Macaca mulatta: one gene and its partners. The protein of the gene in region 1 purifies or fractionates together with the protein of each later gene. This does not show direct contact. Links are inferred from orthologs where the notes say so. Each region holds a gene or a part of one and is shown in the gene's direction. Other genes may lie near its edges.

Evidence for each region.
Region 2: the proteins of HNRNPA2B1 (region 1) and HNRNPH1 purify together in Homo sapiens (affinity purification with mass spectrometry; 5 studies listed by BioGRID and IntAct, with this or other methods). This does not show direct contact. The link is inferred for Macaca mulatta from reciprocal best matches to the Homo sapiens genes HNRNPA2B1 and HNRNPH1.
Region 3: the proteins of HNRNPA2B1 (region 1) and HNRNPH3 fractionate together in Homo sapiens (co-fractionation; 3 studies listed by BioGRID and IntAct, with this or other methods). This does not show direct contact. The link is inferred for Macaca mulatta from reciprocal best matches to the Homo sapiens genes HNRNPA2B1 and HNRNPH3.

The regions. Positions count from the first base shown.
Region 1 is NC_133408.1:102,192,835-102,202,749, forward strand, and holds the end of HNRNPA2B1 (heterogeneous nuclear ribonucleoproteins A2/B1), read left to right. Parts: intron 1-60; coding exon 61-141; intron 142-642; coding exon 643-705; intron 706-2,837; coding exon 2,838-2,957; intron 2,958-3,191; coding exon 3,192-3,314; intron 3,315-3,975; coding exon 3,976-4,037; 3' UTR 4,038-4,058; intron 4,059-4,214; 3' UTR 4,215-6,584; downstream 6,585-9,915. UniProt on the Homo sapiens protein: Heterogeneous nuclear ribonucleoprotein (hnRNP) that associates with nascent pre-mRNAs, packaging them into hnRNP particles.
Region 2 is NC_133411.1:188,575,787-188,585,701, reverse strand, and holds the start of HNRNPH1 (heterogeneous nuclear ribonucleoprotein H), read left to right. Parts: upstream 1-549; 5' UTR 550-951; intron 952-1,595; exon of another isoform or gene 1,596-1,991; intron 1,992-2,108; 5' UTR 2,109-2,139; coding exon 2,140-2,236; intron 2,237-3,850; coding exon 3,851-4,006; intron 4,007-4,212; coding exon 4,213-4,356; intron 4,357-5,841; coding exon 5,842-5,980; intron 5,981-6,928; coding exon 6,929-7,107; intron 7,108-7,191; coding exon 7,192-7,263; intron 7,264-7,319; coding exon 7,320-7,453; intron 7,454-7,605; coding exon 7,606-7,741; intron 7,742-8,147; coding exon 8,148-8,207; coding exon of another isoform or gene 8,208-8,237; intron 8,238-8,299; coding exon 8,300-8,389; intron 8,390-9,025; coding exon 9,026-9,118; intron 9,119-9,574; coding exon of another isoform or gene 9,575-9,624; intron 9,625-9,915. UniProt on the Homo sapiens protein: This protein is a component of the heterogeneous nuclear ribonucleoprotein (hnRNP) complexes which provide the substrate for the processing events that pre-mRNAs undergo before becoming functional, translatable mRNAs in the cytoplasm.
Region 3 is NC_133414.1:81,432,138-81,442,782, reverse strand, and holds the start of HNRNPH3 (heterogeneous nuclear ribonucleoprotein H3), read left to right. Parts: upstream 1-5,643; 5' UTR 5,644-5,809; exon of another isoform or gene 5,810-6,697; intron 6,698-10,645.

The DNA.
Region 1 (9,915 bases):
TGTTTCTTCTTTATTTTTATTCATGTAAGGGCTTGCTTCTAACTGGGGCATTTATTGTAGGCAACTTCGGCTTCGGGGATTCGCGGGGTGGCGGTGGAAATTTCGGACCAGGACCAGGAAGTAACTTCAGAGGAGGATCTGGTAAGTTCAAATTCTATGTGTTTAAAGGATGAGTGTGCTTTTATTTTAAATATGATTAGGTTTTCATTAGTAGAATCAGGAAATCAACGTAAATCAAAACCTTTCCCTAAGACTTCAAATAGATAGTATCCTGGCAAGTTCCTGTGACTTGGCCAGACAAGAAGTTTAATAGGGTTGTGTTAATAAGTTATGTTTATCTGGATTGATAATGTAAAATGAAGTGTCATCAGAAAAGCTTTGGCCCCATGAAGTGTCATTCTTATGTATAAATGAAATGGAATCTCTAAAATTGAGACTTGTTCAGTTAAGAGTTCAAAATTTAGGTGGTAATGAGATTTAATTATATGCTTTCATGTTTTGTGAATAAACTAGTAGCACTAGCGTGTGCTTTTCTGAGGTTCTTAATTATTGTGCTGAGGTATTAAGAGAACTGAAAAAATGAGTGTTAGTAATAATGGTGAACAGCTTATAGTAAATGTAATCTTTTTTGCTCCCTAACAGATGGATATGGCAGTGGACGTGGATTTGGGGATGGCTATAATGGGTATGGAGGAGGGCCTGGAGGTCAGTTTCCTCTATATTTTGGTTTGTTTATGTGACTAATACTTAACCATATTGTATATTTAGTTCATTTATATTTTGAGTTTTTAAACATTTTATATTGCCCCTTATAAAGGGCTTAGGTGATAGTGGTCCAGTTATTTCTTTTATAAGTAATTTGACGTCTTAGTAGTTACAGCCTAAGGAATACAGTGCTATTTAAAATGAAAATTTAAAGATAATCATCACAGTATTCCATCTTAAGCAAAATAATTGGATCTAGATATGTTTTTGTACTGTGCTTTCTGGAAAAGTGCAGAAGACTGGATTTAACTGAGTAAAATCTAAGGGGGGAGAATACGTAGGAGAAAAATGTAAAATATGTCTAAACCCTTAACTAGATGGTAAGCATCCCAGGAGAACTTTCAAAAAGTAACCTAAGGAAATTTTCCAAAATGTTCACTGTGCTCCTGGCTACAGATAAGGTTGTGAACTACCATTGAACCTGAAATGTGATATAATAAATATATCAGTTTTATTGGCGTACAGAAAAGGCTGGTGCCCAAGACAGATTTTGTGATAAGGAAGGGACATTTAAAACTATGAGCTGGTAATAGACTTGATTTCTGGTGTTGCCACTCATTAGGTGTGACTTAAGTTCTACCAATTTTAGAGAAAGCTGAGTTCTTGTATTTAACTACAAGTAATTTGAGACTCAGCCCACAACAGAAGCCTTTTTTTTTTTTTTTTTTTCCCTTTTTATAAGGTGGCTTTTGTTTTTTTGAGACAGCCTTGCTCTGTTGCCCAGGCTGGAGTGTAGTGGCGTGTGTCTGCTCACTACAACCTCTGCCTTCCCGGTCCAAGTGATTCTCCTGCCTCAGCCTCCTGAGTAGCTGGGATTACCGGTGTGCACCACCACGCCCACCTAATTTTGGTATTTAGTAGAGACAGGGTTTCTCCATGTTGGTCAGGCTGGTCTTAAACTCCTGACCTCGTGATCCGCCCACCTTGGCCTTCCAAAAGTGCTGGGATTACAGGCGTGAGCCACTGTGCCCGGATGTTTTGTTTTGTTTAGGTTTTGCATTATGTGAAAGTGTTTCATTTGTCCCTACTTCTGTTTACAGTAAAGAACATACTGTGTAGAGTGTTGCGCCTATTTTTTTTTCTTTGAGATGGGGTCTGGCTTTGTTGCTCAGACTGGAGTGCAGTGGTGTGATCTTAGCTCACTGCACCCTTAGCCTCAAGCCATCCTCCCACCTTAGCCTCCTGGGTAGCTGGAGCTACAGGGTGCACCACTGTTAACCAGCTAATTTTGTGTTTTTTTGTAGGGGTGTAGGGGTTTTGCTATGTCGCCCTGACTGGTCTTGAATTCCTGGGCTCAAGCAATCCACCCGCCTCAACTTCCCTTACTGCTGGGATTACAGATGTGAGCTGCTGGGCCTGGCCAACAACATTGTTTTGTTTTGTTTCAGAGAGAGTCTCTCTCTGTCGCCCAGGCTGGAGTGCAGTGGCGCAATAACAGCTCACTGCAACCTTTGCCTCCCTGGTTCACTCCATTCTCCTGACTCAGCCTCCTGAGTAGTTAGGACTACAGGCGCCTGCCACTACAACCGGCTAATTTTTTGTATTTTTAGTGGAGATGGGGTTTCACCGTGTTAGCCAGATGGTCTTCTTATCTCTTGACCTTGTGATCCACCCACCTCAGCCTCCCAAAGTTTACAGGCGGGAGCCCCCGTGCCTGACCGAGAACATTGTTTTAAAAGATGTAATTCGTAGGGAGACATAATAGAAACTTTCTTTTGGGCCAGTAGGGGGAAGTGCTCTTTTACTTTCTCCCTAACCCACACTGCTAGTCTAGCCTCACAACCTTACCCACTATATACATGTAGTATTTCAAGATAACTTAAGATTTTTAGTATTGAGGGAAAGCTGTAGCGTTACAGGTATTTAAGTGGGTACACATGGTGTTATCCATTTGGCTGGGTAGGCACTCTAGCCACCACATGTTTACCAAGGGTAGGTATTCAGTCCTTCAAGCTGTTTTAGAGGAATTTCATTGAATGTTTCACATGCAAACTTGGAAATGGATGTGAGGAGACAGTTCAAAATGGCATTGAAAATATTAAGTGATTACTTAAAGGCTTATTTTATAATAGGTGGCAATTTTGGAGGTAGCCCCGGTTATGGAGGAGGAAGAGGAGGATATGGTGGTGGAGGACCTGGATATGGCAACCAGGGTGGGGGCTACGGAGGTGGTTATGACAACTATGGAGGAGGTAATAAATTCACCTGCAACCTTTATGTGGGAATTTGGAATTAATGGCTTTGTAATACTTGATCTTTTATTTCAATGTTTGTCACTAGATAAAGTGTTTGCTTTTGTTTTTGTGGGAGCTTTGTCCTAAATCCTTAGCATGTGTCTTTGGTTTAATGTTTTTCTGGTTTAATGTTCTTTTGGTTTAATGTATTGTTCTGAGGTCCATTATACTAGTGTTCCAATTTTTTTATAGGAAATTATGGAAGTGGAAATTACAATGATTTTGGAAATTATAACCAGCAACCTTCTAACTATGGTCCAATGAAGAGTGGAAACTTTGGTGGTAGCAGGAACATGGGGGGACCATATGGTGGAGGTAATTTATAACAATTGAGATTTTTCAGATGTTTGTGATTAAAGGATTAGCCTTTTGTGACTTAAAGGGAAAATAACATACTAAATAGTTTGGGTTGTGGGATATACGGTCTTAGTGAAAATAAAGAAATTTTGCATAAATCTCCACAGAAGTACTCAGCAAGCAGTTACAACATCAAATTGGGATTAGGGGTGTTGGAGGTGGGGAAGTTCAGTAGTTCAATTTCTGGTGGGGGCTGGTAAACAGCTAAGTAAAATTGTAACCCACATTGCAAGTGGTGTAAATTGGAATGAGGGTCTTTGAAGTTAAATTATTAAACCATGATTCAAACCATTGCTTAGCTTATTCTTGAGGTTTTTAGCAGGAGTAAACATTTTCTGTGTCTTGGTCTTGGTGTACTTTAAAAAAATCCCTTAGTCCAAATGAGGATGAGAGGACCCTTTATTTAAAAGAATAGCATAGCATCAGCCACGAAATAAAAATGTCTATGAACCTGAGTAATTTATCTCCCAAGTAATTCTGCTAACTGGCTGCAAAGGGTTAGGATCTGCTTGTTTTTATTAAAGACTGGATGGATAGAAAATAGAATCAGCTGTAGTGTTATAGTGATTATGGGAAATCAAAGTAAGTTTGTTTTCTCTTGCTGTTCCAACAATTATAGGAAACTATGGTCCAGGAGGCAGTGGAGGAAGTGGGGGTTATGGTGGGAGGAGCCGATACTGAGCTTCTTCCTATTTGCCATGGGTAAGTAGCTTTTGAGTTTTACAATTATTATTATCTTGGGAGACATAGCTGCAGGAGTAAAAGCTTTTTAGGATCATGTTATCTTTCCTTAAAATCTGGTTAGATGGATAATTTCATAACCTATTTTTTTTTTACTCTTTACTTCTGTTGAAACAGGCTTCACTGTATAAATAGGAGAGGATGAGAGCCCAGAGGTAACAGAACAGCTTCAGGTTATCGAAATAACAATGTTAAGGAAACTCTTATCTCAGTCATGCATAAATATGCAGTGATATGGCAGAAGACACCAGAGCAGATGCAGAGAGCCATTTTGTGAATGGATTGGATTATTTAATAACATTACCTTACTGTGGAGGAAGGATTGTAAAAAAAAAATGCCTTTGAGACAGTTTCTTAGCTTTTTAATTGTTGTTTCTTTCTAGTGGTCTTTGTAAGAGTGTAGAAGCATTCCTTCTTTGATAATGTTAAATTTGTAAGTTTCAGGTGACATGTGAAACCTTTTTTAAGATTTTTCTCAAAGTTTTGAAAAGCTATTAGCCAGGATCATGGTGTAATAAGACATAACGTTTTTCCTTTAAAAAATTTAAGTGCGTGTGTAGAGTTAAGAAGCTGTTGTACATTTATGATTTAATAAAATAATTCTAAAGGAAATTGTGTAATTATAGACTTTTTATTTTAAATAAGTTAAGGAGTGGGTAGTATAATTAAGGTCCGTTGCAAAGCTGTTGTTATATTTGTATAAGATAAATGCTGGTCAGATATAAGTGTGTTGTCTGCAATTCATCAGGATTAAATTATGTAGATAACTTAAGGGATATCTCTGCAAGGAGAAACACCTTTTTAGATCTTTTAGATGCTGCTTCTTCAATGCAAGGAAAGGAAATAACCCCAGCGAGGTACTCTTCAGGGACACAGGTCTAGTACAAGAGAACTCTTGACGGCTACTAAGTTCAGCCAGTCTTAAAAAACTGTGCTGTTTCTACAAAACTTTAACTACAGTAGTTTTTAAGGATGCCAACGAAAGCTGAGGGTGTAGAGCAAAATAGTTCTAAGCTTCAGTTAAACTTCTTTAGGTAAGATCTTATTTACTTTTCCTTTCTTAATTTTCCTCCCTAAAAGATAAACTAATACTCTTAAATGGTCTTTCAGTATAGTGGTTCTTACGTAGTTTAACATAGCTATAAATTGAGTTTAACAATTTATAAACTCAAGAGAATAATTTTTATAAACCCTGTTTTCCAATCTGTCATTTACTTAAATTATTTTGGTTGTTTTTCCCTTTTTTTCCTTCTTTTCCTACCCCCTCCCCCTCCGTGTGAAGATTTGGGTGCTTAACATATCATTTTTTTCCCTGCTGGAATTTTAGCATTGATATGAACCATGGACAAGTATATTCTGCTGCCACAAAGACTGTAAAGTGCTTCATTTCAACAGCTGAGGCAAGCCAAGTGATCATTAATAAAGCTTTTCTTGGTTCCTTCAGTGGTGTTGGTAGTAAAATGGTAGGTAAAAGTTAGGCTGCAAGTTCAATAAATCATGAGATTTCCCATCGTTACACCCTTGTGTATTCACATTTCTTGGATCAAACATTTTGAGTGAACTAGGGGTTTTTATTAAAGACATTTGTTGTATTTATGGTTGTAACTGTACATGCTTATCAGGAAGAGACTGAAGGTAGGGCAAAAATGGTTGAATCTATTTTCAGATAGTAGTTCATACTTGAGTGAAGTGTCTGTCTACATTATGAAGCCTGTATGTATCCAGTACCAAGTAGGTGGGTTAAATGTGGTTATTTTAGTTCAGTGTCTTACCCTGAAGAGAAAGTTGTAGTTTGGCTGTTGAAATTCATTCCTTAGATACCATCAGTTTGATTGCCCGGCTTTATTGCCTTTACAGGAATGTGATACTCAGGGCTTACTCTACTATATGCACCAGTGAGTCTTCTTTGATCCTAAGACCACCACTGAAGTTGTTTAGGTTCTTTTGGACAAACATGATAAACTTCTTCAGATACTTTTTTTTTCCTTTGGCAGGAAGGTGTCTTGCTGCAGGTAACTAATGAAGAAGTGGTCAACCACAGAGTCTTCAAGAAATAAGAAATTCTGTACCATCTGAAAGTAGTTCTTGTTGGTGCCTTCATTTAAAAAGCACTCTTTAAAATAAAAGGGAAATGTTTTCTGATAAAACAAACATTTAGTTCAGGTTCTTGATATAAAACTTAAAAAATGAGTATTGTTTGTAAAACTAACATCAAATTGGCTAGAGAGAGAAATGTATCATGTTTTAAATTAGGTTTTGTGAGTAGACAGATTACAATTCTATTTTAAATATAAAGTTTATAAAATAAATATTTTTTGTATCCAAATACTTGGTGTAATGTTTACACATAAAATGTGTGAATCTTGTTCTATAAACATTCGGTTGTCTAAAAGATCACCATCCCCTAAATTTTTTAAAGCAGTTTGGGGCTATGCATATTTTCTTTTAGTATTAACAGATAAATGAGAAGAGCATTGTGGACATTATTGACTGTCCCCAATAAAATGCTGTTCATTATGCACTGTATATTCAGCGTTTGAGTACTCCTACTAAAGTTTCTGGCTTTACCTTGTATGTTCAGCAATACTGGTGGCATTTTGAAAATCATGGATTTTAAAGGTGAACCGGCCAGAGTGGTCTAGATTAACTGGCTTTGCGAAAGCACTGAGGGCTTAAAATATGTACTAGATTGTCACATGTCAATTAGTTTTATTGTGTTTCACACAGAGTAAATGAATATCAGTGTTTTTTTCTTTTTATGTGTTTATTTGGACATTTATCTGAATTAAGAAAACCAAAAAATAAGGGCCAAGTTAATTGATTTGTTTCTATGATTTGTTTTGGTTTTGATAATTTGAGATCTAACAGGTAAGTCACACTAACAGTGGGTAACACATAGAAAGCACTTTTCTGTTTTAAATAGCTGAATTCATCACAGACTTGTACAAATATCCCAACTTCAGGAAAATTTTGAAGTTTTAAAAATGTTTGGATGTACAAAGACGTTGAACTTTGAAATACATCAGGTTGATATGCATAACCTCAAAATACCAACTCCTATCTAGCAAGGTCAAGGGAATATCACACAAATAGGGGAGAATTAGGTAAATTACACAATAGACTGAAATGAACTGATGGAAGAAGAGTTTACTGAAACATAGTGTAATGTTGGATATTCAACATAGGCTTATTTCCTGTGTGTATAGTGTTGAATCTGTTTTTCTTGGAGAAATTGAAGTTTAAGGTAGTTCTTGTGCAGCTTTGAGACAGTGCTCTAAAATAAAGAAAGGCTGCCTTTTGTCCGGGGCTTTATATTGTTGCTGTGTAACAACTTACTTTTAGAGCAGTTTAGAGAAACAAACTTCAGTATCTATGGGTCAGCAGTTGGGAGCAACTTAACTGATTCTGGGTAAAGCTCACAGTTTGCAATCACAGAAAACTAGGATTGGATAATTTTTTTTTATATATCCAGAGTGGCATACTAACAGGGCTGAAAAGTTAATGCTGGTTGTCATCTTCCCTCGGTGAGTGAGCAAGAAAAGCTGTAAAATGAACACACTACAAAGTAGTCATGCCATCTTACATCCTTTATGGTCACAGAATGTGGTGGGAGGGTTCTATTCACTGGTAAATTACCAAGCAGGCAAGGATCATTGGGAACTATCTTAGATGCTGGCTGTCACACTCAAGGGTGTGCCCTTATTCAGTTTATGCATGAGTGTAAAACCGGATTTCCCTGTGTAAGGTTTTCCTTGTAGCCCAATTCGGTAGATGCCAAATTGCTTGACCTAATAAATGTTAGGTATTGGGAGCTAACAATGTAAGGCAACAAGTCTCAGTTTGTCACTGATGGTTGAAAAGTGCAAAAGGTAGAAAACACCTATCAGGTCACCTGGAGTGCATGTTATTTAAATTTGCTATCTTTAAGGTTTGGAACTAAAGTACTGGGATGGTTGACAGGCCCTACATAATTTTCACATTTGTACTATTTAGTAATGCACTAACACTGGCTTGTTTGGGAGGGGAATTGGGGTAACCAGTGAGTTGCATGGATTTACCAGAGAACAAATAGTTCGAAAACTGAGATGGGGAAAGAAGGATCTAGCCACTTGAGTGCATTTAGGGAAGTTAGTATTACCACAAAAACCCTGTATACTGGTTCTGTAGCTCTGCTCAACTGAAGCCTGCCTTTTCCATACAATTGGCCTAAAATCTGATCACACTTCGGAAGATGCTCAAGTGACTTTTAATTGGAAAAGATATCCTACCCACTTGGGTTGTCTTTATCCCTATCTTCCTCATTCTGATTAAGACGTTAGATACTGTAATCAAGATTACTCAACTAGGTAGGTAAAGTGGAGGGTCCTAGGCAATGGTGGTTTGGTTTTTGGCATTGACTTTGTAATCTAGTTGGTTTGCACTGGAAAGCAAATGTGGAATTCCTTCTACCTTTAAAACTGGACTGTCGGAAAAGCAGTTCGTTTATATGTCTTGAATCCAGCATGTTAAGATGGAGACGGGGTTGTGTCAGGAAGCCAACCCATAGCCAATTAGATCTTGTAAAGCTGGCTGCTTAATGCACCAATTAAAAGTCCCTTGGTATGGGAGAGGGGACATCAGTTTCAGGAACCTACACTACCAAAATATGCTGTAGTCCTCTTGTATGAAACGTGTATTTGCACATGACCTAAGCACGTCTCATACACTTGAGTTGTCTCTAGGTTACTCTCATTTAATCCAAGATAGAAGCTTGGTAAATAGTATGCTGCATTGTATGGGGAATAACTGACAAAGTTCAGTACAGACATTACTATAAATATATTCCATTTGCAGTTACTTGATCTGTGTGCTGTATTTAAGGTTTTTTATAGCTTAAACTTCAGGCCAGACATGGTGCATAATCTGAGCAGCTTGGGAGGCTGAGGTAGGTGGATTTGAGTTCGAGGCTGGATCTTTGGGGGCCACTGCACTTCAGCAGTGCCAAGACTCACCATGATTACCAATTCTGCTCTCTGCTGTCCTTTCCTTTTAGAGGTTTGAAGAATGCTATCTGATAAGCAGGCACTCGTGCGAGTGCACTTAGTCAACTTTGAAACAAGTAAATTGGTACTGTAGGATTTCCTACTGTGGACTGAAATGTTTTACGTGTGTTCTTAAATTATAACTATCAAAAGCTTAAGACATTTGAAATACTCCCTTGTAAAAAGCAGCTCGTCAGCAGACTAAACAAATGATCATTGAACACCATGAGTCATTGAATGGGGCAATAATTTTATCTAGAAGCATTTCTGGCAAAATAACAGGTCTTGGGAAAAAAACTTTTATTACAAAAATCCAACGGTATATATAAACTGCGTTTCTCTAGCCCAAGATATTTATGTGATACTCTACACTGTAACGGCAGAAATAGCATCTGAGAAACTTCATTTTGAAAAATTGGACATAAAATTTTATGTATACATTATAGTACACATAATGTGTTGATGTTCCCCGGACTTGACAGTCATCTAGGTGAGGTCATTGCTGTCTTCAGAAAACTCAATCTGTTTATTGTTAGAGTAAACTTAGTGAGGTTTTCATTTCAAATGCCATTATTTCTAGAATTTACCTTACCCTGGTTTATTTTCACATTCACCTGTTTTTTCCCCCCAATAGCTTTTGCCTATTTTAAACAATCTTAGATGGTTTCACTGTTACTCTTCCCCTACTGTTGGTTTGTTTATATGGCTTACAGTGTTCTGGTGAGATCTCAGTATTCTAAGATGTCAGGCCATCCCTTCAGGCTGGCTTTACTACTGCCAGAGATTTTATGGATTTA
Region 2 (9,915 bases), on another chromosome or scaffold:
TGCCTCGGCCTCCCAAAGTGCTGGTATTAGAGGCGTGAACCACCGCACCTGGCCAGAGTCTCTCTTCTTGATTACCTCAGCCAAAGTGTTTTCTGAAATGGTACCACAGATATGTGCTTCCAGTTCCGTTTGTAGTAGAGGGCATGGCATGTACCGTCATTCACCCTGCCTGCTCCATCTGCATCCCCCTCACATCCAGCAAGTTTTCCTTTGCATAGGGCTTATTGCTCCCCTGCTGATCACCTGCCAAAGCCTTCTCTCGGAGTTAACATCCTTGCCAAGGCCTAAGTGGCTTTTGAAGATCAGGCCCTGCTTAGCTCTGGGCTCCCGTCTTTCTTTTGATGTCCTCTCTACTTTTCTCAAACCTGTCAAAACTGGATTCGGACTCTGTGGCCCTGGGGTTGGAAACATGCTTCGTCTGCATCTTCCCAGGGTGGCACTTAGGCCTGCACTAGCTAAGGTAGCCCTGCGGCAAGGTCCAACCCTGCCTTATTGTTAATTTGTTTATTGTCTGTGTCCACTAGAGCTGGGGTGAGGAGGGCAGCCAGCTCAGACCTGGGGAGGCCTGGGAGGCTACGGCATCTTCGGTGTTGGGCAGTGCTGTTAGAAACCACGAACATTACTCATCTGGCAGCATGTGTGCACATGGGGTGAGCCGGGGGTCTCCTCGAATGCGGCGTCTACGCCCGGGGATTGGACGCACTGTTACCGATTCTGTCCTGGGAGATTCAGCGGTAACCTACCGGGCAGAGGCCGGCACGCACCCGTGGAGAAGCCCGCGCTCGCGATTCCTCCTCGTGCCAGGGCCCCAGGGCACGGAAGGCCCACCGACCGTGAGGCGGGTCAAGGGGTACACAGGGTGCGAGTTCGTTAGGCAAAAGCTGGGTACAGGCGCGAGCCACAGGCACGGGAACCTCGCGCCGACCGGGGCCCTAGGCCCGACGACCGCAGGTAAGGGGAAGTGGAGGCACACATGGCTGGGACGTGCCCCAGGCACCATCCGGGTGGCTTCGGGCGCGGGACGTCCGCAGCCCCGCAGCTCCCAGGACGCTCGACCATCTGCGGCTGATCAGCTTCGGCCGGTTTGGGGATAAAGGGGAGACAGGCGGCGCGGGGAGTGGGAACGCCTGAAGGCCGCGCCTCTCCTTTCAGGTCGGCCAGGAGCGCACCGGTAAGAGCCAGGGGGTAAGGGGTAGAAAGACGCCCACCTCTTCAACCCAGAGCTCGGGACTCCTATACAGTCCCATAGGGAACAGGCGGCCGCCATTCCCCTCCCCCACGCTGGCGGGTAAGGCTAGAGAACGGTTTCAAGGAAGACGCATGCGCATGAAACAATTATAAACCGCTAAGACTCCCAAGTTCAATATTCGCGGGAAGGCGCATGCGCAATAAAAAGCCCGGCGGGTTTATGGGTGGGGGTGCTGCGCCCAAATCCCAAGCGTGTAATAATCCGCCGGCGGACGGTGGGCTGGCTCTTGAAACTACGCATGCGCCAGAGCTCTTTGTGACGCAACGGGGCGGTGCGGGCAGCTGGCTGCGCGTGCGCAGAACTCGCACAAAGGGCCTTATTTAGGTTGCGCAGGCGCCCGCTGGCCATTTCGTCTTAGCCACGCAGAAGTCGGGTTTCTGGGTGAGTCTCGGTGGGTCCTCGCTTGCAGTTCACCGACCACCGTGGGCGCCGTTTTTGCGAGGATTGGTTGTCCTCATACCTCTGGGAGGGCCACGGGGACCTTGGCGAGCTGCGGGCTGCCATCGAGAGCCGCGAGTGGTTCGCTGAATGTCGGCACCGCAGCTGAGGCCTGCAGGCCGCGCCGACTCTATTGTGTGAGAAGTCGGAGGAGGCGGAGCGGAAGCGGCCGCCGCCATTTCCTTTCCTCCACGCTGGCTCGGCCCGGGCCCCCACGGTTCGGGGCGCCGACGGTTGCTGCTCAGAACAGCTTTTGGGGGTCCGGCCGCCGGACGAGGAGGTGTTGGGTATTGGAGCCGCCGGGGTGGGTGCATCCCCCCGGTTTTTGCTTGGTGGGGGGGCCGGTGCGGGCCCGGGGGCGCCTCGGAGGCGGAGGACAGCTTAATTGGCGCTCTCAGGTCTGGTCCTCCCCGCCTTGCAGTTTGTTTCGACGCCGGACCGCGTAAGAGACGATGATGTTGGGCACCGAAGGCGGAGAGGGATTCGTGGTGAAGGTCCGGGGCTTGCCGTGGTCTTGCTCGGCCGATGAAGTGCAGAGGTTTTTTTCTGGTGAGTTAGAACTAGGACGCGGGAGTTCGAGTTCGAGGCCGGGGCGGGCGGGCTGGCGGGCAGCCGGGCTGGGGCGGGGCGGGGCGGCGGGACCCGGGGCGCCCCCTGGCGAGGCGCGGGCGACTGCACTCACCGCCGTGTGGCTCGCGCCCGGCCGGCCGCGGTTACGCAATGGAATTTTCGAAAGCCCCGCCCGTCCTCCTGGCCCTGCGGGGGGAGTGCGGCAGATCTGGCAGACCCTTTGATTTCTTTACTACCTTTGAACACCAACTTTTCTTTTATGGATGTCGTTTTTCTTTTTCCTTTGTGTTGGGAGTCTCTGTCACCCAGGCTGGAGTGCAGTGGCGCGATCTCGGCTCACTGCAGCCCCCGCCTCCTGGGTTCAAGCGAGTCTCCTGCCTCAGTCTCCCGAGGAGCTGGGACTAGAGGCGCGCACCACCACGCCCGGCTAATTTTTGTTTTTTTAGTAGAGACGGGGTTTCACCATTTTGGCCAGGCTGGTCTCGAACCTCTGGACCTCAAGTGATCAGCCCATCTCGGTTTCCCAAAATGCTGGGATTACAGGCGTGAGCCACCGCGCCTGGCTCCGGTGTCTTTTTGCGAAAAGATGAATTGGCATAGGTGGGTTTCCTCCTCAATCTCGAGAAAATTGCCGAGTAATTAGACCAATAATAGTAATGTTTTTCAGTATCTTGAAGTGTAATCTCTTGTTTCCAGTTCTGGTGTTTCCTTGAAAAGGAGCATTCTTCGGAAAGTTAAAATGTCACGTCTTAATTTCAGTTTTCCTAATCAAGATTTGGTAATTGAAGAGTGTGTGCTCATCTAGTTCTTAATTTGGCTGACTATACAATTGAAAACACTGAAACCCAGGGAAGTGTTTTTGCAGTCCCTAGGTTTCCTGAATATTTTCTATCAGAATGTCCTTGTTCCCATTATTAGACTGGGAAAAATTAGACTGATAAAATTCTACTTGTATGAAATTGACAGCTTTTGGCAAGACGTTTGTAGTGTTGACTTACTATCTGAATTTAGCATTGGTAACGGAAAACGACCTGTAAAACAAGAACCAAGTACACTGGAAGCCACCTTGCAGGGGGCAACGCTGGGTTTGGCTTCAGCTGTGCAACTTGGAGCATTTTAGCTTGGTAACACTGATCCCCTTTCAGGTGAGTATTGGGCCTGTAATTTGGATTTGAATGAGAAACCGTAATGTGGCTGCTGGTAAGGTAAAACTTGACAAACGCGCCAGACCAGACCAAAGCAACTCGCAACGAAGTAGGTTTGCCATAAAGTCACAAAGTCCAGGCTTGATAATGTTCTGAGAAATTGATAAAAGATGTGTGATGTGGACATAAGTAGCAGGGACTTAAGAGAGAAATTCATTCTGAAACTGCTTTGAATATTGTATGTTGTTGATGGGTTGGAAATACATCACCTTGGGAATGAGGTTTTTTTTTTTTTATTGGAGTTCCAGGAGTTGGTAATACCATCATTATATGCAGGCTTCACAAGTTACGTAATTTGTAGTGGGGACACGGAATAGACATTTAATCTGTGTCACCCAGAGGTGGTTTTAGGTTTTAAATTCCGTATTAACGGTTGTTTTCTTTCCAGACTGCAAAATTCAAAATGGGGCTCAAGGTATTCGTTTCATCTACACCAGAGAAGGCAGACCAAGTGGCGAGGCTTTTGTTGAACTTGAATCAGAAGATGAAGTCAAATTGGCCCTGAAAAAAGACAGAGAAACTATGGGACACAGATATGTTGAAGGTTTGATTTACATTGCCCTAGTTACAGTAAATAAAGCATTAAACAATAGAGGTCTTACCCCTTCTGAATTTTAGGTATTTGACTGCATGGAAATGGTCATCTAAGGGAGTTTGTGGCAGCTCTTCCTAGCTTATCTAAAGACCCAGGAAGTCTGAACTTTGTTACCTAATTTTCCAAAAGTGACTAATTCTAAGCACCTCTTTCAGTATTCAAGTCAAACAACGTTGAAATGGATTGGGTGTTGAAGCATACTGGTCCAAATAGTCCTGACACGGCCAATGATGGCTTTGTACGGCTTAGAGGACTTCCCTTTGGATGTAGCAAGGAAGAAATTGTTCAGTTCTTCTCAGGTATGTAGTCCTGTTTGTTGATGAGCAGTGAGTTTTGGCTAGCTTCTGCAAGGTGATTTAATAGACCTTAAAGTTGAGTAGCTTAGGTATTTCAATAGGTTGTGTAAATTGCCAATGAATTAATGTTTTCTTCCTAGAGACCTTCAAATAATTTAAGCCCATCTTAAAGGTGGAAATGAAGTACTTCCAAAATGTTAACTTTGCCTATATTTAGTATTATAGTTCAGAGTAGATCTTTCATTGAGGATTGCCCTCAACAGCTTAACTGCTTTTCCTCACATTGGTGTCCAGCTAAGTACTTCACGTTAAAGGTAAGATCCCTTAACATCAGATTAGTGTGACGAATTAGGTTGTTGTAAATTATGGCAAGTGTCTGTGTTGTTGCAAGAGACACATTTGGGTCATGTGACCAGAATGGTCTAATTCTCTTTAATGCAGAAGTCGATTTATGAAAGACTTGGTTTAACCAGTGTGATATAAACTTACTGAAAATCAGATGTAGTGAGAGTAGTTTGAATGCTTGTAGTCTCAGTATCTGAAATAACAAAGTGTTTTGAAATTGTTCCTGGGCCTAAAGTATTTGAATGTTTTTATGCTGAAGAGCTGATAAGATTGCATGTTTAACAATGTTAGATATCGTATATTTTAAATAGTAATATTTATGATGTGATACACTGGAAGCAAGAAATCCTTTCATGGTTTAGTGTAGTATGTTAAAAATTTATATATGTATCAAGTCCTAATGTCAGAATTTTAAAAATCAAGTCTTGTTTTGTTTTTACTCTAAATTGGTGAGAATTGAATGCTATCTGTCAACGTTAAATATGAACATAATTTCATATCTTCTAGGAAAGTGCTTTAAGTCCTTTTTGTAAGCTTGGGAATGTATCCACGGAAAGGATTTTTCATAGACGGAATTTCCAGAAGTGAATCATAACTACTGTTAGAGCATAAGCATGCATGATTGTGCTGTGTAGATCAGTTTTGTTGAAAGTTTAGATTGTTATGTTTGTCAATTATAATTTAATGTTTTAGTTTTTATATGAAATGTTTAAATGTATACCTTTTTAAAGACGAAGTTCCAATAACTTAAAGCATTGAAATATAAAATGAGGTAAAAGGTGTTTTGAATTTAGTAAAACTGTTATTTAATGCTTAAAACTTAATTGAATTCTTGTATAATTCTCAACATTAAGTTGCATAGATATGTGTTCTTAAGTTGTTGAATTCTTAATGCATCCTGCGTTCAGCAAGTTTTTTTTTTTTTTAATTTATACTGTACCATGGGTGTGTTAAGAATAGTTATACTTCGTAATAATGGAACTTCATATTATTGCAATGCATATTTAAAGAGTACTTGTTGAAAGCATACCATTCACCTAAAGTTAAAAGTTCTGGTTTATTTAAAGCTATAAGAAGAATCATTTCTGGGCTTGTGATGTTAATATTGCCCCCCTACTGGGGTTATTTGTCCTTGGGTTGAAGGGTTGGAAATCGTGCCAAATGGGATAACATTGCCGGTGGACTTCCAGGGGAGGAGTACGGGGGAGGCCTTCGTGCAGTTTGCTTCACAGGAAATAGCTGAAAAGGCTCTAAAGAAACACAAGGAAAGAATAGGGCACAGGTGGGGATGGATGGTTGGTTGGATATGTCACTTTTCTTATGGTAAACAATTAAATCCATATTCTCTCTGCTTAAAAGAAGAAATTAATGTTTTGTAGTCCTAGGTAATTGATGTTTTGCCATGATTTCCAAACTTTTCTTGTGTCAGTCCCATGTTACACGCAAACTAAATTTTAGGTTTAAAATTTGTCCCTAGTTAATTGGTCTACTTGACAATTTTGTGAGTCTTATTAACCCCAATCAATAGAGTTGAGAGACTATGGCTTTAAAAAATTAATGCAAACCTGGCTTTAGCTGTAATAACACCCACCTAGAGTAAATTAATATTACCATAAGAAAATGTGATACTTTCTGATCTTGTTTTTAAAGTTGAAATGCAACAAACTTTTTCTTGCTGTATATAAATATTCTGCATAGTATTAATAAGCATAGCTTTCAAGAAATTGTCACAAAAGGTTTTATTCTCTTTGCTTGTGACTATTTTTCATTGAAGCATGCGCTTACCTATGCTGATTCTTACTAAAAGCATAGGCTGGGGTATTTATTGGCGAAAGGAAATGTGTAGTGTGGGCTAGACTGTTGGTGGAGGCTGGCTTTTTAGCCCACTTGCTATACATGCTGCCAATGGATTTAAGACTTGAAATGTTGAAAGTTGAGTGGAATTATTTCCCTCCTAGAACGTTTATTTACAGTACTCCTCTCTACCCCTAAGGTTGGGCTCTGCCTCAGGAGGAGTGAGTGTTTTTTTTCTGTAAAGTTTACATTGTCTTACTATTTATTGAGTGAATTTCTGGTCATTGCCTATGCAAATATAAGAAATCTGGCTTTAAATATTAGTCAGTTTCATGGCTATGACTAGATTGTATTTCTTGTGTAACTAAATACCTGTATAAAATGAACTAATGTTGTCTCTCCCCTCCCTACCCCTTCCTTATGAACGATGCTTTAGGTATATTGAGATCTTTAAGAGCAGTAGAGCTGAAGTTAGAACTCATTATGATCCACCACGAAAGCTTATGGCCATGCAGCGGCCAGGTCCCTATGACAGACCTGGGGCTGGCAGAGGGTATAACAGCATTGGCAGAGGAGCTGGCTTTGAGAGGATGAGGCGCGGTGCTTACGGTGGAGGTACGTGAGGATTCCCAGGGTTTGGCAAGTAGTCTGTTCCTTTGTTTAGGTGTTTTGTTTGATGGATTGTACTTTGTCTTTCAGGCTATGGAGGCTATGACGATTACAATGGCTATAATGATGGCTATGGATTTGGGTCAGATAGATTTGGAAGAGGTAAGGTAAGAATTGAATTTCTCAGTTGAAGGATGCTTACACTCTTGTCCATCTAGACCTCAATTACTGTTTTTCAGGAATGTCTGATCACAGATACGGGGATGGTGGCTCTACTTTCCAGAGCACAACAGGACACTGTGTACACATGCGTGGATTACCTTACAGAGCTACTGAGAATGACATTTATAATGTAAGTGTAGGATGAACTCACAAGTCTTATTTCAGTATGGCAGTAAAAGTCTGAGCCTTACTCTATAAATGTGAGCACTGTGTTAGAAATTGTAGTTTTATTTTGTAACATTAGAAAGTTGATTTAATTCTTTGAAATGCCTTGTGTTGTAGTTTTTTTCACCACTCAATCCTGTGAGAGTACACATTGAAATTGGTCCTGATGGCAGAGTAACTGGTGAAGCAGATGTCGAGTTTGCAACTCATGAAGATGCCGTGGCAGCTATGTCAAAAGACAAAGCAAATATGCGTAAGTGTGATTGAGCGTTTGTGGGCTCTTAACAGGTGATTGTGTGACTAACATTTACAATAGAGAAATGGAAAAATAAGGATATATGAGAAGTTTCCTCTCCAGTAATAGATTAATTCTTGGGGGATGGGGGGCAGTGGGTTGAAGAAGGTTTGGGTTTTAAAAATTAGTCTAACGGATTTGTGATACGCACATCTTGAAGTTTATATCCTTAATTGACAACATAGATGAATATGTAAAGGCTAGATATTAGAGTTAAAGTAGATCACCTAAGAGAAGTAGCTAGAATTTTCTTTGCCAAGGTATTTGAAGTTCACAGATCTGCTCGTTTAAAAACTTTATAAAAGTGCTTATCCTGTTGTGTTTCACCAACAAACATTTTCAAACTTTTTTTTTCTCATTTCAGAACACAGATATGTAGAACTCTTCTTGAATTCTACAGCAGGAGCAAGCGGTGGTGCTTACGGTAGCCAAATGCTAGGAGGCATGGGTTTGTGTAAATATCACTTTAGTGTCTTTTTTTTAAGCTAACCTTGTATGCCTTTTCTCTCATTTCAGAACACAGATATGTAGAACTCTTCTTGAATTCTACAGCAGGAGCAAGCGGTGGTGCTTATGGTAGCCAAATGATGGGAGGCATGGGCTTGTGTAAATATCGTTAGTTTTTTTAAAAACCAAAACGTTTATATCTGTATAAGTCAATTATAAGTTGTTAATCTATTTAATAAGTTTAGCATAACAAACTTAGGCAAAGAAAGCAGTTTCTTGATATTTGAATTTTGTATCTGGCTTACTTAAATCTTTGTTATGAAGTTCCTTAGGATAGATAATTCAAATTAGATTTAAGTACTCTTGGGGGAGGGGACTACGGAGTGAAACTACTTAAATTTTCTGAGTATAAAGTTTAAATAGCAAAATAGGATTAAGATAAATGTGGGCATAATTAGGTGTATTGACGTGCCTTTGATATATCTAAGGGGGAACCCCACTAAATCTAGTCAGGCAGTTTCATAAGATCTTCACAAAATGCCTCTACTTAGGGAATCTTGTGGGTTTTAGTCCTGCTGATGTATATACCGTTAGCACTTTGGTTTATAAATATTTGAGTAGCTCAAATGATGGATAGAAGGGTAGCCCGGTTATAGACAGTAGGCAGAAGGAGGCAGAGGGTTATAGTAATATAAGATCAAGACTGGAAAATATAGATATAGAATTACAAGCCCGGTACCACCAGGTACCACATTATGTAAGGAACAAGGTTCTAAAGTTTTCTTAACTTAACAGCAAACCAGTCCAGTTACGGTGGCCCAGCCAGCCAGCAGCTGAGTGGAGGTTACGGAGGCGGCTATGGTGGCCAGAGCAGCATGAGTGGATACGGTAAGCCTGTTTTTTTAAATATACTTAGAATTAAGTTTTAGGCAGGTTTCTTTAGTTGGGAAGGTGCAGGCTCCTTTTTGGTGAAATTGGGTTATTAAATGTATGCTTTCAATCCAAATGTAACTTTTTACTAGCTTAATTTTCAGAAACAATCATTGGGAGGGGGAAGTGTTCTGTGAATAAAAAACTAGTCATTGCAACTTTGGAATACTGTCGAGCCAGAAAATATCTGCCTCCATTTATTAAAACATTAAATAAAGTTGTTCGCTTTTTTATCTTTTGGTTAGCAGTACATCAATTTTAGATGGAGGGAGAATTTGGAATAGTAGAATGGTGGTTGGGTTCAGGACCGTATTTATTAGTTAACCTAGGATTGGTTTTATTTATTTTTTTTCAATTGGTCTAAAGAATGGTGATTTTGGTATTATAGTCTTACCCTACAAAATCCTTTTGCAGACCAAGTTTTACAGGAAAACTCCAGTGATTTTCAATCAAACATTGCATAGGTAAATATTTTCTCAAAAAATATAATTTAAATTCCCAATAGCAAATACTGATATGTTGTAATAATACTTTCTATAGCAGTCAATGGCTCTGACTTAACTCCATGGAGGCTGCCATTTGGGCACAGTGAGTTGCCTTTAGTCCACCTTGGTTGTCTCACTTCCTGCCCACCGTGAATAGGAAAAGCAAGAGACTTCCCCTGTGCTCCCTTTTCTCAAATGCCATTCGAGGGACACATTGTGAATGTTTATGGTAAATTTTTTTAAAAAATGCCTTGTTTAGCTTTAAAAATA
Region 3 (10,645 bases), on another chromosome or scaffold:
CTCCCAATATAGTTCTTAGGATACTGTACTTACTTTAAAAATTCTATTAAATTCACTGTTATTAAATGAGTTTAGCAGGAATGAACCAGATTCATTAACAATGCTCTGACAAACACAAATAAATAAAACAGCATGGAACTAGAATTAACATTATTTCAATTACTAATCTCCAATAACCTAACAACCCATTTTAGAGATTAAGAAACTGAGGTGGCCAGGCATGGTGGCTCATGCCTGTAATCCCAGCACTTTGGGAAGCTGAGGTGGGCAGATCACGAGGTCAAGAGATCGAGACCATCCCGGCCACGTGGTGAAACCCTGTCTCTACCAAAACTATAAAAATTAGCTGGGTGTGGTGGCACATGCCTGTAATCCCAGCTACTCGGGAGGCTGAGGCAAGAGAATCGCTTGAACCAGGGAGTCGAGAGTTGCAGTAAGCCGAGATCGCGCCACTGGCAACAGAGCAAGACTCCACCTCAAAAAACAAAAAAAAAAAACTGGGGTTCAGAAAAGTTAACTGGTTCAGAATCAATTCACTGGTAGCTAGTGTCAGAACTGGGACTCCCTGATTACGAAGTCAAGTCTAAGTTTTGCCATTTACTTTTTTGGTAAACTTTGAAACATTACTTTATCTCCTGGTTTTTTCATTTCTTGGTCCATGAAACAATAACTTTGCAAGACTGCAGTGAAAATGAATTACTTACTGCCCCCAGTGTGACCATCGTTATTGTCTGTAGACTGAAAAACATAGGTATATGAATAACAAGAGCTACATTTTTATCTACCACCAAGAAGCTTAAAATCTGGTTGGGGCCGGGCGCTCTGGCTCACGCCTGTAATCCCAGCATTTTGGGGAGGCTGAGGCAGGTGGATCACGAGGTCAAGAGTTCAAGACCAGCCTGACCAACATGGTGAAACCCCATCTCTACTAAACATACAAATATTAGCTGGGCGTGGTCACGCATGCTTGTAATCCCAGCTACTCAGGAGGCTGAGGCAGGAGAATTGCTTGAACCCAGGAGGCGGAGGTTGCAGGGAGCCGAGATCATGCCACTGTACTCCAGCCTGGGCAACAGAGCAAGATTCCACCTCAAAAAAAAAAAAAAAATCATGTTGGGGGAAATGGTCTATTACCGTATTATCAATGCTGTATTTTCGAAGTTATTAATGTGCTTATGACATATGAAAAGCAGTATAATAATTTGATTTCAATTATTTAAGTAGCTATCTTTTTAAGCCGCTTTCCCTAGCCTTCACAGCAATTCACTGGAACAAAAAGAATGTTTATTTTCAAAAATTAGAGAAAAAATGTGTTTAGGTGCTTTCTTCCTTTTGAGTTTTCATTTGTTTACTTAGTATAATTATTAAGATTGAATAGGTCTTTTGGTTGCCAGATTCACAAAGAACACTTAGGTGACTCAGAGAAACAAAAAAATATCAAGAATATAAACTGTGTAATTCAGCCTTGTCTTGAGAAACAATGTTGAACCATAGTAAAGGAGATCAGTGTTTTCTTTTTTTTTTTTTTTTTTTTTTTTTTTTGAGACGGAGTCTGGCTCTATCGCCCAGGCTGGAGTGCAGTGGCCGCATCTCAGCTCACTGCAAGCTCCACCTCCCGGGTCTACGCCATTCTCCTGCCTCAGCCTCCCGAGTAGCTGGGACTACAGGCGCCCGCCACCTCACCCGGCTAGTTTTTTGTATTTTTTAGTAGAGACGGGGTTTCACCGTATTAGCCAGGCTGGTCTCGATCCCCTGACCTTGTGATCCGCCCGTCTCGGCCTCCCAAAGTGCTGGGATTACAGGCTTGAGCCACTGCGCCCGGCCGAGATGAGTGTTTTCTAAAGACAATAGATATAGGATGTAAACCAAAGAATAAGCATTTCACAGTCTTACACAAACTTAGTGTTTAAAAGGTATTAACTACCTTAATTAGATGAGATTTAGTGGATTTTGTTACATTTTTTAGCTTATTTGCTTTTCATATAGGCAAAAGATTATGATAATCCAGTTTTTATGGTACTTTACAATGCCATTGGGGATATGTGAACAAATATCTTAACCAAATTTTCGTTTATGTGCCTTCCCTCCCCCCCAAGGGTGTAATCTCTTTCCATTTCTCTTTCTTTTTTTTCTCTCAGGCTCTGCACGGAATTTTCCTCTCCTCTTCAACCTGATAGTGTAACACATGATCACGTGTTCGTTGTCTTGTTTTCCTCTGGGTCGCATGGGTACTTCTATTTCCTTTTCCTTTTTCATCTTTTCTCTCATTATGGTCTCTAACAAGATCCTCTCCAGGGTCCCTCTGATCTCTGTGCTAACAGGAAAGCACTGGAATGATGGAAAGGAAGACAAAGAAAGTCCCAAAAGCAGCTGGGAGTCCTTGGTTCTAACCATCTCTATGGAAACAATTCCACAGAGATAGGTCTGGAAACAATTCTGTAGGGATCACTGGAGCAGTGGTGAGCCAGTCTCACCAAGCCTTATTTACAGGATACAACTTGCAAATGGGAATAGTTGACAAGATTTTGTTGTTGTTGTTGTTGTTTTAAGAGAAGTAGTAAAGTAGGAAGCCAAATAAAATGTACATTTATGCCTATGTAGCATTTTGTTTTTTGTTTTGAGACGGAGACTCGTTCTGTCACCCAGGCTGGAGTGCAGTGGCACGATCTCGGCTCACTGCAATCTCTGCCCCACCAGGTTCAAGCAATTCTTGTGCCTCAGTCTCCCAAGTAGCTGAGATTATAGGCATGTGCCACCATGCCCAGCTAATTTTTGTAGTTTTAGTAGAGACAGTTTCACTATGTTGGTCAGGTTGGTCTCAAACTCCTGACCTCACGTGATCCACCTGCCTCAGCCTCCCAAAGTGCTGGGATTACAGGCATGAGCCACCACACCCAGCCTATATAGTGTATTTTTTAACTCAAAACTTCCTACTGTAACAATAAAAAGGCAAAGGGAACGTGTAAACCAATTTCAAGTCCTTACTGAGCATGCACATTGGCAAAGAGTGCGTAATCCAAAGAAATTATGGCAAGCAAGCAAGCAAGCAGCAGTTTGGTAGTGAAAAATCATTCATGTCATTAGAATGATTTTCAGATTGTGACCCATAACCACACAAAATATGCGGCAGGAATGCCAAATTCAGTCAGGCAGTAAAACAAATTGAATTCAAGCAAGGAGTGAAGGAGATTACAGAATTCCATCTACCAAATCAGTTTGAAAGACCGAAAGGATAAAAATAGCCATGTAACTTGAACCCAGGAGGACCAAGGGAAGAACTCCATCAGAATTGTGGGAGCTTAGAGTCTTATTAATACAGCAATTATTTTTTTAAAAGGACGGAGAGGGGTTGGGACTCACAGTGTCAGTGATAATGGGACTATAAAGTTTCAGGCCTGTTCAAAAAGTCTCCAGCCAATAAGCTAGTAACCACAGGTCTCCTGAAATGGTAACTCCAGTGTTAATTAGGTGACATAACCTCAATTTTCCAAAAACGATGTCTGTTTCCTTAAGTTATAGATATTTGTAACCTCACGAAGGTTCATAGTGTTTTAAGACCCTGGCCCTTGGGTAAAACCATATGGGCTCCAATTCTAGCTCTACCACTCAACTGTGTGACCTTGGGCAACTATTTTCACTTCTCTAGGACTTAGGCACTTCATCTATAAAATGAAGATACTTATTTTTCAGGGTTGTAAGAGTACAGTGTGTAGGTTATGCTACACACTATACTCAATTTGCTGACTCTTTACAACCCTGAAAAATAAATATGAGCCATTGTTATCACAGCATCCTTGTTTGGTTTTCCATCTCTTTTAATTGTGATAACACTGTCCTTTCTGCCTTCCACTCAGTACTTTTAGGGAGTGGGCCATTGTGGGTATGTGAGCACCATGTTCTTACTGCCCCACACTCGTCTTAGGCAGGTTTGAGGATGAATTAAAGCCTTAAAATGTCTTACATCCTACACACCGCAGATCTCATGGGAGAAAAAATTATACATCCTCCTACGTTGCTAACACCTCTCACCCTACCTCCAACAGACTTCCCAATGTCTGTACCACAAAGTTCAAAGTCTTTTGGCCAGACATTGAAGACTATCTACAATCTAGCTTCACCCACATTTCTAACATTATGCCATCTTCCTGACGCCTTGCACTGGAACTTGCACTGATTTTTTGTGTGTGTGGGAGGGTGTGGGACGGAGTCTCGCTCGGTCACCAAGGCTGGAGTGCAGTGGTGCGATCTCGGCTCACTACAAGCTCCACCTCCTGGGTCCACTCCATTCTCCTGCCTCAGCCTCCTGAGTAGCTGAGACTACAGGGGCAAGCCACCTACGCTCGGCTAATTTCTTTTTTTTTTTTTTTTTAGTAGAGATAGGATTTCACCGTGTTAGCCAGGATGAACTTGCACTGATCTCTTTCCCAGGCTTCCCCTTAACTCTTCGCGCAGAAATTCGGGGTTTTTTTTGTTGTTGTTGTTTTTGAGACAAGGTCGCCCAGGCTGGAGCGCACTGGTGCAATCACGACTCACTGCAGCCTCAACCTCCAGGGCACAAACCATCCTCTTGCCCAGCCTCCCGAGTAGCTGGGACTACTCGGGAGTCCCATCTACTCCCGTGCGCTGCCATCACGCCCAGCTAATCTTTGTATTTTTTGTAAAGACAGCGCCTCACTATGTTGCCCAGGCTGGTCTCCAACACTTAGGCTCAGGCGATCCTCCCGCCTCGGCCTCTCAAAGGCGTGAGCCACCGCGGCCGGCCTTTTTTGGAACTTAAAAAAAAAGGCCATAATGTGTCATTAAGAACCTTAGTGGCATGACTGCAAAACCAAAATGTACTTATTAGGTGTCACTTGGAAGCGCAATTTTCAACAACGCAAAACTATAGAAAACAACCCAACGTCGGCCTCCACAGGCTAATCAGTCCCCGAGGCACTGACGGCGGGAGAGATGAAAATGCGAAGGCCAGAGGAGAAAGAGAGGAAGGATTTGCAGAGAGAACGGAAACGTGTACAGGAATTCACCCAAGAAACCCGGGTCCCGCGCGGCGCACCGGGACGAAGCGCGCTGGGGGACGGCCAGCAGCTCCGGGCCAGAAGGAGGCGGACACCCAGCCCGAAAGCCGAAATCGGCCTCGGTGGACGTTTTCATCTTCGCGGCCCAGAAACACTTCTATTTTTCATTGCACAATGCAAACATGGTGGACCAGAAAATCCGCCCCGCGTCTGCCGGCCGAACCACGTGGCGCCCTTTCCGCGCCGTCGATGCCGAGCAAGGGCGGGGCCCTCACGGAATTTGTTCACGGTGGGGGCAGATCACTGGAGAACTTCTCCAGACCGCGACAGCACAGTTCCTTCTACACACTGGCAGAACTTTCATTGCCATCGCCCCGAGGCGGCAGAATGGTATGCCCCGAAAACTGGATGGTTCTACCGTAAGCAAGAAAGACTGCACACACAGCTCTTTACCTGGACCAGCCTCTGCTCTGTCTACCTCGCCCCCAACAGCTGGGCAGCCCACCACCGCGCAGGCGCGCTTCGTGCTGCCAGCGCCAGGCGAACCTGACTTTCCCGTCTCGCGAGAGTGGGGCCGGCCGCCTTCGCAGTTCTCGCTCCGCCCCCCACTTCTTGCTCGCTCCCTCCCATCCCCCCAAGCCAGTTGCTGTGCTGCGCAGCTCCCTAAGCGGTTGTCACCGCTGGAGACGGTTGGGAGAACCGTTGTGGTGAGCGCTACACGAGGCAAACAACTTCTCCCTTCTCTCGACTGGACCCCGCGAGCAGCAGAGTCGGCGTAACTATCGCCTGACAGGGTATCTGAAGTAAAAGGGGGTAGGTTGGGCTGGTGGTTTCGAGAGCGGAGTCGGGAGAAGGACGAAAGAGGCCGGGAGGGGCTGGGTTGGGGGGTAGTGCGGTGGTCGCCGCTCGGAGGCCCGCCGCTTGGAAGCGGCGGGGTTGCGCCTCCCGGATCATCTCCCACTTCAAGGAGGGCAGCCTGCCGATGGGAGGACTTGCTCAGGTGGAACTCAGTGGACGACGCCGAGGCCCGAAGTAGGGGACATCCAGCATTTCCCCCTTTCCCTGCTGGCTTGGCCTCCGCCATTTTGGGTACAGTGGCGCGGCCACCTCGGCTTCCCGCCCTTCCCCGCTCTTTTTACTTTTTGTCTCCCAGCTTCCGAAAACTGATTCAGAAGGCCAGGGGAGGGGGTGGTCAAAGCTCCCTGGAAGGGATGAGGGTGGGTAGTGAAGCGAGCAGGGAAAGACCGGGCAGTTGGGTGGAGGGAGGATCGGGGTTGCCGGGCGCGCTCCCGATGGAAATGGCGCCGGATGGGCCTGGCCTCCCACCGTGGCCTCCCTTCCTCCGCAGTCTCGGCAGGGCTACCTGGGCTGACGGGACTGCGAGTGACTTCTGACGCAGATTCCCAAGATGAGAGAGGCTGGAGCTGGGGGAGGAAAGCCAATGGCGACGAAGGTGCTCAACTCTCAAATCCAGGACAAAGGAGGCAGACGGCCTCCTTTGTAATTCCGCCGCCCGGTGGCGAAGGGTTTTAAGCCAGGCTTGGCTGCTGGGGGGTGGGGGAAGGGGCGTACTCTCCCTAGCTCTCTGGTCTCTAGGGCAGCTAGATAAACGGAAAGTCTCCTGGGAGGAATAAAGGACGCTTAGCCGGCCCTTATATTCCAGATTTGGAACTTCGAAAAGAGTACGTACTGATTTTCCAAAGGGTTTTTTTTTTTTTTTCATGTTTAAACGTTAATAAGGACTTCGGGGGTGATTTTGTAAGCAGAAAAGTGGGTGATTTATCAAATAGGAATGTGAAATGGGCATGTTTCAAGTAGGTCGTCTGGGCCCAGTGAACTGTGATTGTTGCTTTTTGAACTTTGGGGGTGGGGGTGGGTGATGTAGCAATTGTTTTGCGTAGTTTGGCATCTATATTAGACTTTGTTTTTAAGTTTCACTTTTGGGAAACAGTTAAAACAACCCAGTGATGGTAGATGTGTATGTATGGGAATTGAGTTCCTTTCGATATTAAATCTTCCAAGAGTTGTATTTTGTGCAGTTTTTTTTTTCTTGGCATTAAGGCTCTAGAAGTAAAATACTTCAAAATACGGTTATGGCTTATTTTCTTTTGGTGTCTAGGCCTTTTTTTTTTTTAAATGTAGGAGTATAATACACTGTAATCGTATTTTAAACAAGGGAATAAGCCTATTAAACAGAAAAACAAATTGTAAACCCAGTCACGTGGTGGTGGTGTGATTCGGATGAGGGTCCTGAGAACTGGATCCGTAATTTTCATTGAAGACACAGTGCAAAAGGGACGGGAAAGGCCTGAGAGTAAGAATTTCTGATAATTCATGTAAAACTTTTTAAGAATATTGTTACCTACTTTTCCAGCTCTAAAAACAAAAACTTACTATTGTTGAAGATGTTCAGTGATGCTTTGTCAAGATTGCCAAGGAAAAGTTTACGAAAATCTTACCTTGAAACAGTAGCTTTGAGTGGCCCTTTGAAAAGATAGTCCAGACTGTCCTATAAAGTTGTATATGCTGTAACAAATAGCTTTACTAATTGGATTGGACTACACACACACACCTTTTTTCTGTCCTCTTTTTCAGTTGTGCCATTATCTGGAAGTCCATCTTACTGTCTTTTTAAAATAATGTTATCTTTGATTTCGTTGTATTGGTAAACAACTGACTAAATTGCAGTAGATAAAAACATGGTTCATAGTAAACTAACATTTTAGAGACCGTACCTCCTTAAGCTGTTAGGGGCGTGTCTAGTGTTTTTGTTTTTTTAAAGAGCAAGCCCATTGGGAAGGAATGATGTACATTTTCTGTTAAACTTAGATCATCAGCACTTTTTCCAAAAAATAAAATTCATTCTCATTTCTTGACCACTGGGCTGCCATTTAGAAAGTTATTTATTGATGCATAAAGTCGTTTATGCATTACTTCAGAAGATAAGCTGTGCCTCCGTGTTAAGAGGATTCACTATTTCATTTGTTCTCTAGTAGATGTTTTTTCTTTAATGACTTCGGTATATAATTCACATACCATAAACTTCACCAATTTTAAATGTACATTTTAGTGGATTTTAGTACATTGACAGCGTTGTGTGACCGTCACTACAATTTAATTTTATAACATTTTTGTCACTCCAAAAAGATACCAGTACCCTTTACTGGTCATTCCCCTTGCTGGCATTCTCCCTCCCGTCAAGCCTCAGACAATCATGAATACAAATGGAGTTACACAATATGTAGTCTTTTGTGACTGGCTTGTTTCACTTGGTGTAATGTTTAAAAAATCATATTTAAAGTCTCATAAAACTGACCAAAGCCATCCTCATATTTTAACTGTGGTATATTTTATTGTTACTAGCACCTAGAATTCTTAAAGCAGAGTAGTGATTAGCCATGACATTGTTGCAAAGAAAGGTTGAGGTGGATTATCCTGAATAATTAGTAAAGTGTTTTAAGTAGTTTCTGACAGCTTTATTAGAGCAGATTGCTTCTTCCTGTGCCCTTAGAGTTTTTCTTGTTTTTGTTTTGTAGGTAGGATTTTTAGTTTTGAAGGGGTTGGTAGAGTGAGGCTCTCATTATTGTATGTGCTTTGCATACAGGGTCACCCTGTAAAATAGATTAAGTGTTCCGAATTTGAATTTGGTTGGGTTTTACGCGATTAAAAGTTGTGTTAACAGTTTAGTGTTTATTATAGATAACATCGATAACACTTTTTTGTTTTCATTGGGTCTTATAATTGGTACAGACCGATCCAAAAATCCAATTGGCTTGCTGGTATTTTTTTCTTGTGAATTGGTAAGATTTATGAGTAAAGTAATTTTTTCTTTTTTTCTTTTTTTTTTTTTTTTAAGCATTTGCTCCTTAAATGCAAACTACTAAGATCCTTTCACAACAGATTAAGGTTGAATTTGCAGAGTTCTTAAATTTTTCATGAACCAGTGAGGGTAGATCTGTACCACTTTTTCCGTTATGTGTAAATCCCCCTTTATGGGAAACACTTATTTTTTAGGTTTGTGCTATTTAAAAAAAATAAAACGCTAGGCGTTTTCAAAACATCTCTGAACTTTTTTTTTTCAAACTGGGTTGGGGCCTCCTCCTCTCAGAGCTACTCTTCAGTATTAAACTTTTAAAAGCCTTCGCTGGCTTTGGGAAATAAAATTTTTAACAATTCTCAGTTCTCTTCGAGGTTTGAATTGTTTTCTGTCCTTTAAGGTTCACATATTTTGTGTATGGTATATCTTGTTGGCTTTTGCAGGGCCCCTTAAAATCCAGTAACAGTTGCCATCAGTAAATGCTTAACATGAGGCAGACCAAGCACTTGAAGAGTGCAGTGAGGTATAGATACCACTGCTATAGTTTACAATTGAAGAGGCTCAGAGGTTAAGTGGTTTAGGTAACCAGTGAACGGCAGAATAGGGATTCATACTATTTATTTGTGTGCATATTTTAAATGCATGAATTCTAGGAAAAAAAAACTTTACCCTTTGCAGATGCCACCCCTAAGAGTTGCACCAACAAATAGATGACATGAAATTAAGCATTAGTGAATGCTGTTGATACGAAATATGATCTTCAAACATAAAGGAATCAAATGAACAAATTGTTTTGTTTACAGGGGAGGAGGTGGTGAGGGAAAGGTTTGAAATACTCAGGTGAGTAGGATTCCTACAGCTGCATAGTGAAATTTGTAAGGTTCTGGTAAGTTTCTGCAGCTGAAGGACTTCTGCATTCGCCTCTTTTGTAAATACTATGTAATTTTAAACGGAAGGATGGTTGCCTCTGGGGAAGGGAACTGGGAACTGAAGTCATTTAGGAGGGGAAGGGGGGCTTCTAGATGTACCTTTTATGCTTTATTAAAAAGTATATTATGTATTTTTTAAAGTTTGTGTTTAAATCTATTTGATTAAAAAGCTGAGTAAACTGGTTTCTATACACTGTCCAGTGGCTTCAAAAACACAGGTACTGTTGGAAGGCATTCACTTTTGAGCAGCCTTTGACCTCAGTTTTAATCTAATTCAGTCATTTTATAATCTTACTCTTGGTGAGTTTAAACTAGATTTGGCTAAAATAGAGGTGAGAGTGTTGGCCCTTCAAAGACAGTTTGATGTGTTCAAAATTGTAGTGCATTTAAAAGGGTTAGACTTATGTGATGTTTTTCCAACATGAGTCAGTACTCATTGCATTTTTTACTTAGGTTTTTGATGTTAGTGGATATTGGTATTATATGCAACTTCTGAATAAGTTTTAAAGAATTTGAATAATCAGGTGAATAAAAACCTGAAAAGTGGTGAATCAAAAGTTGAGAGATAAGGAAAGGCTAGAGTTGGCATTCAGGGGACACAGTCAAATAGTTTGAAGACTCTGGTAGTAGCATTATGCAAGTTTTCTTAAAATTAGGCAATACATAATATTGATACTAAGAAATTCAGTACTTTTCCGTAGGAGGGCTCAGGTCTCATTGCTTTTTCCCTACCCCAAAATATGAAAGGTGGTCTACAGTTTTGTCATGGCATTGTCACGGGAGTTGGCGCCATGTTACATTTCCTCTTGTGGCACCTCTGAGAGGTGTTTCTTCATTACCTCTTGACAAGAGTATGTTTTGATTGACTGCTCTATGTGCTTGTT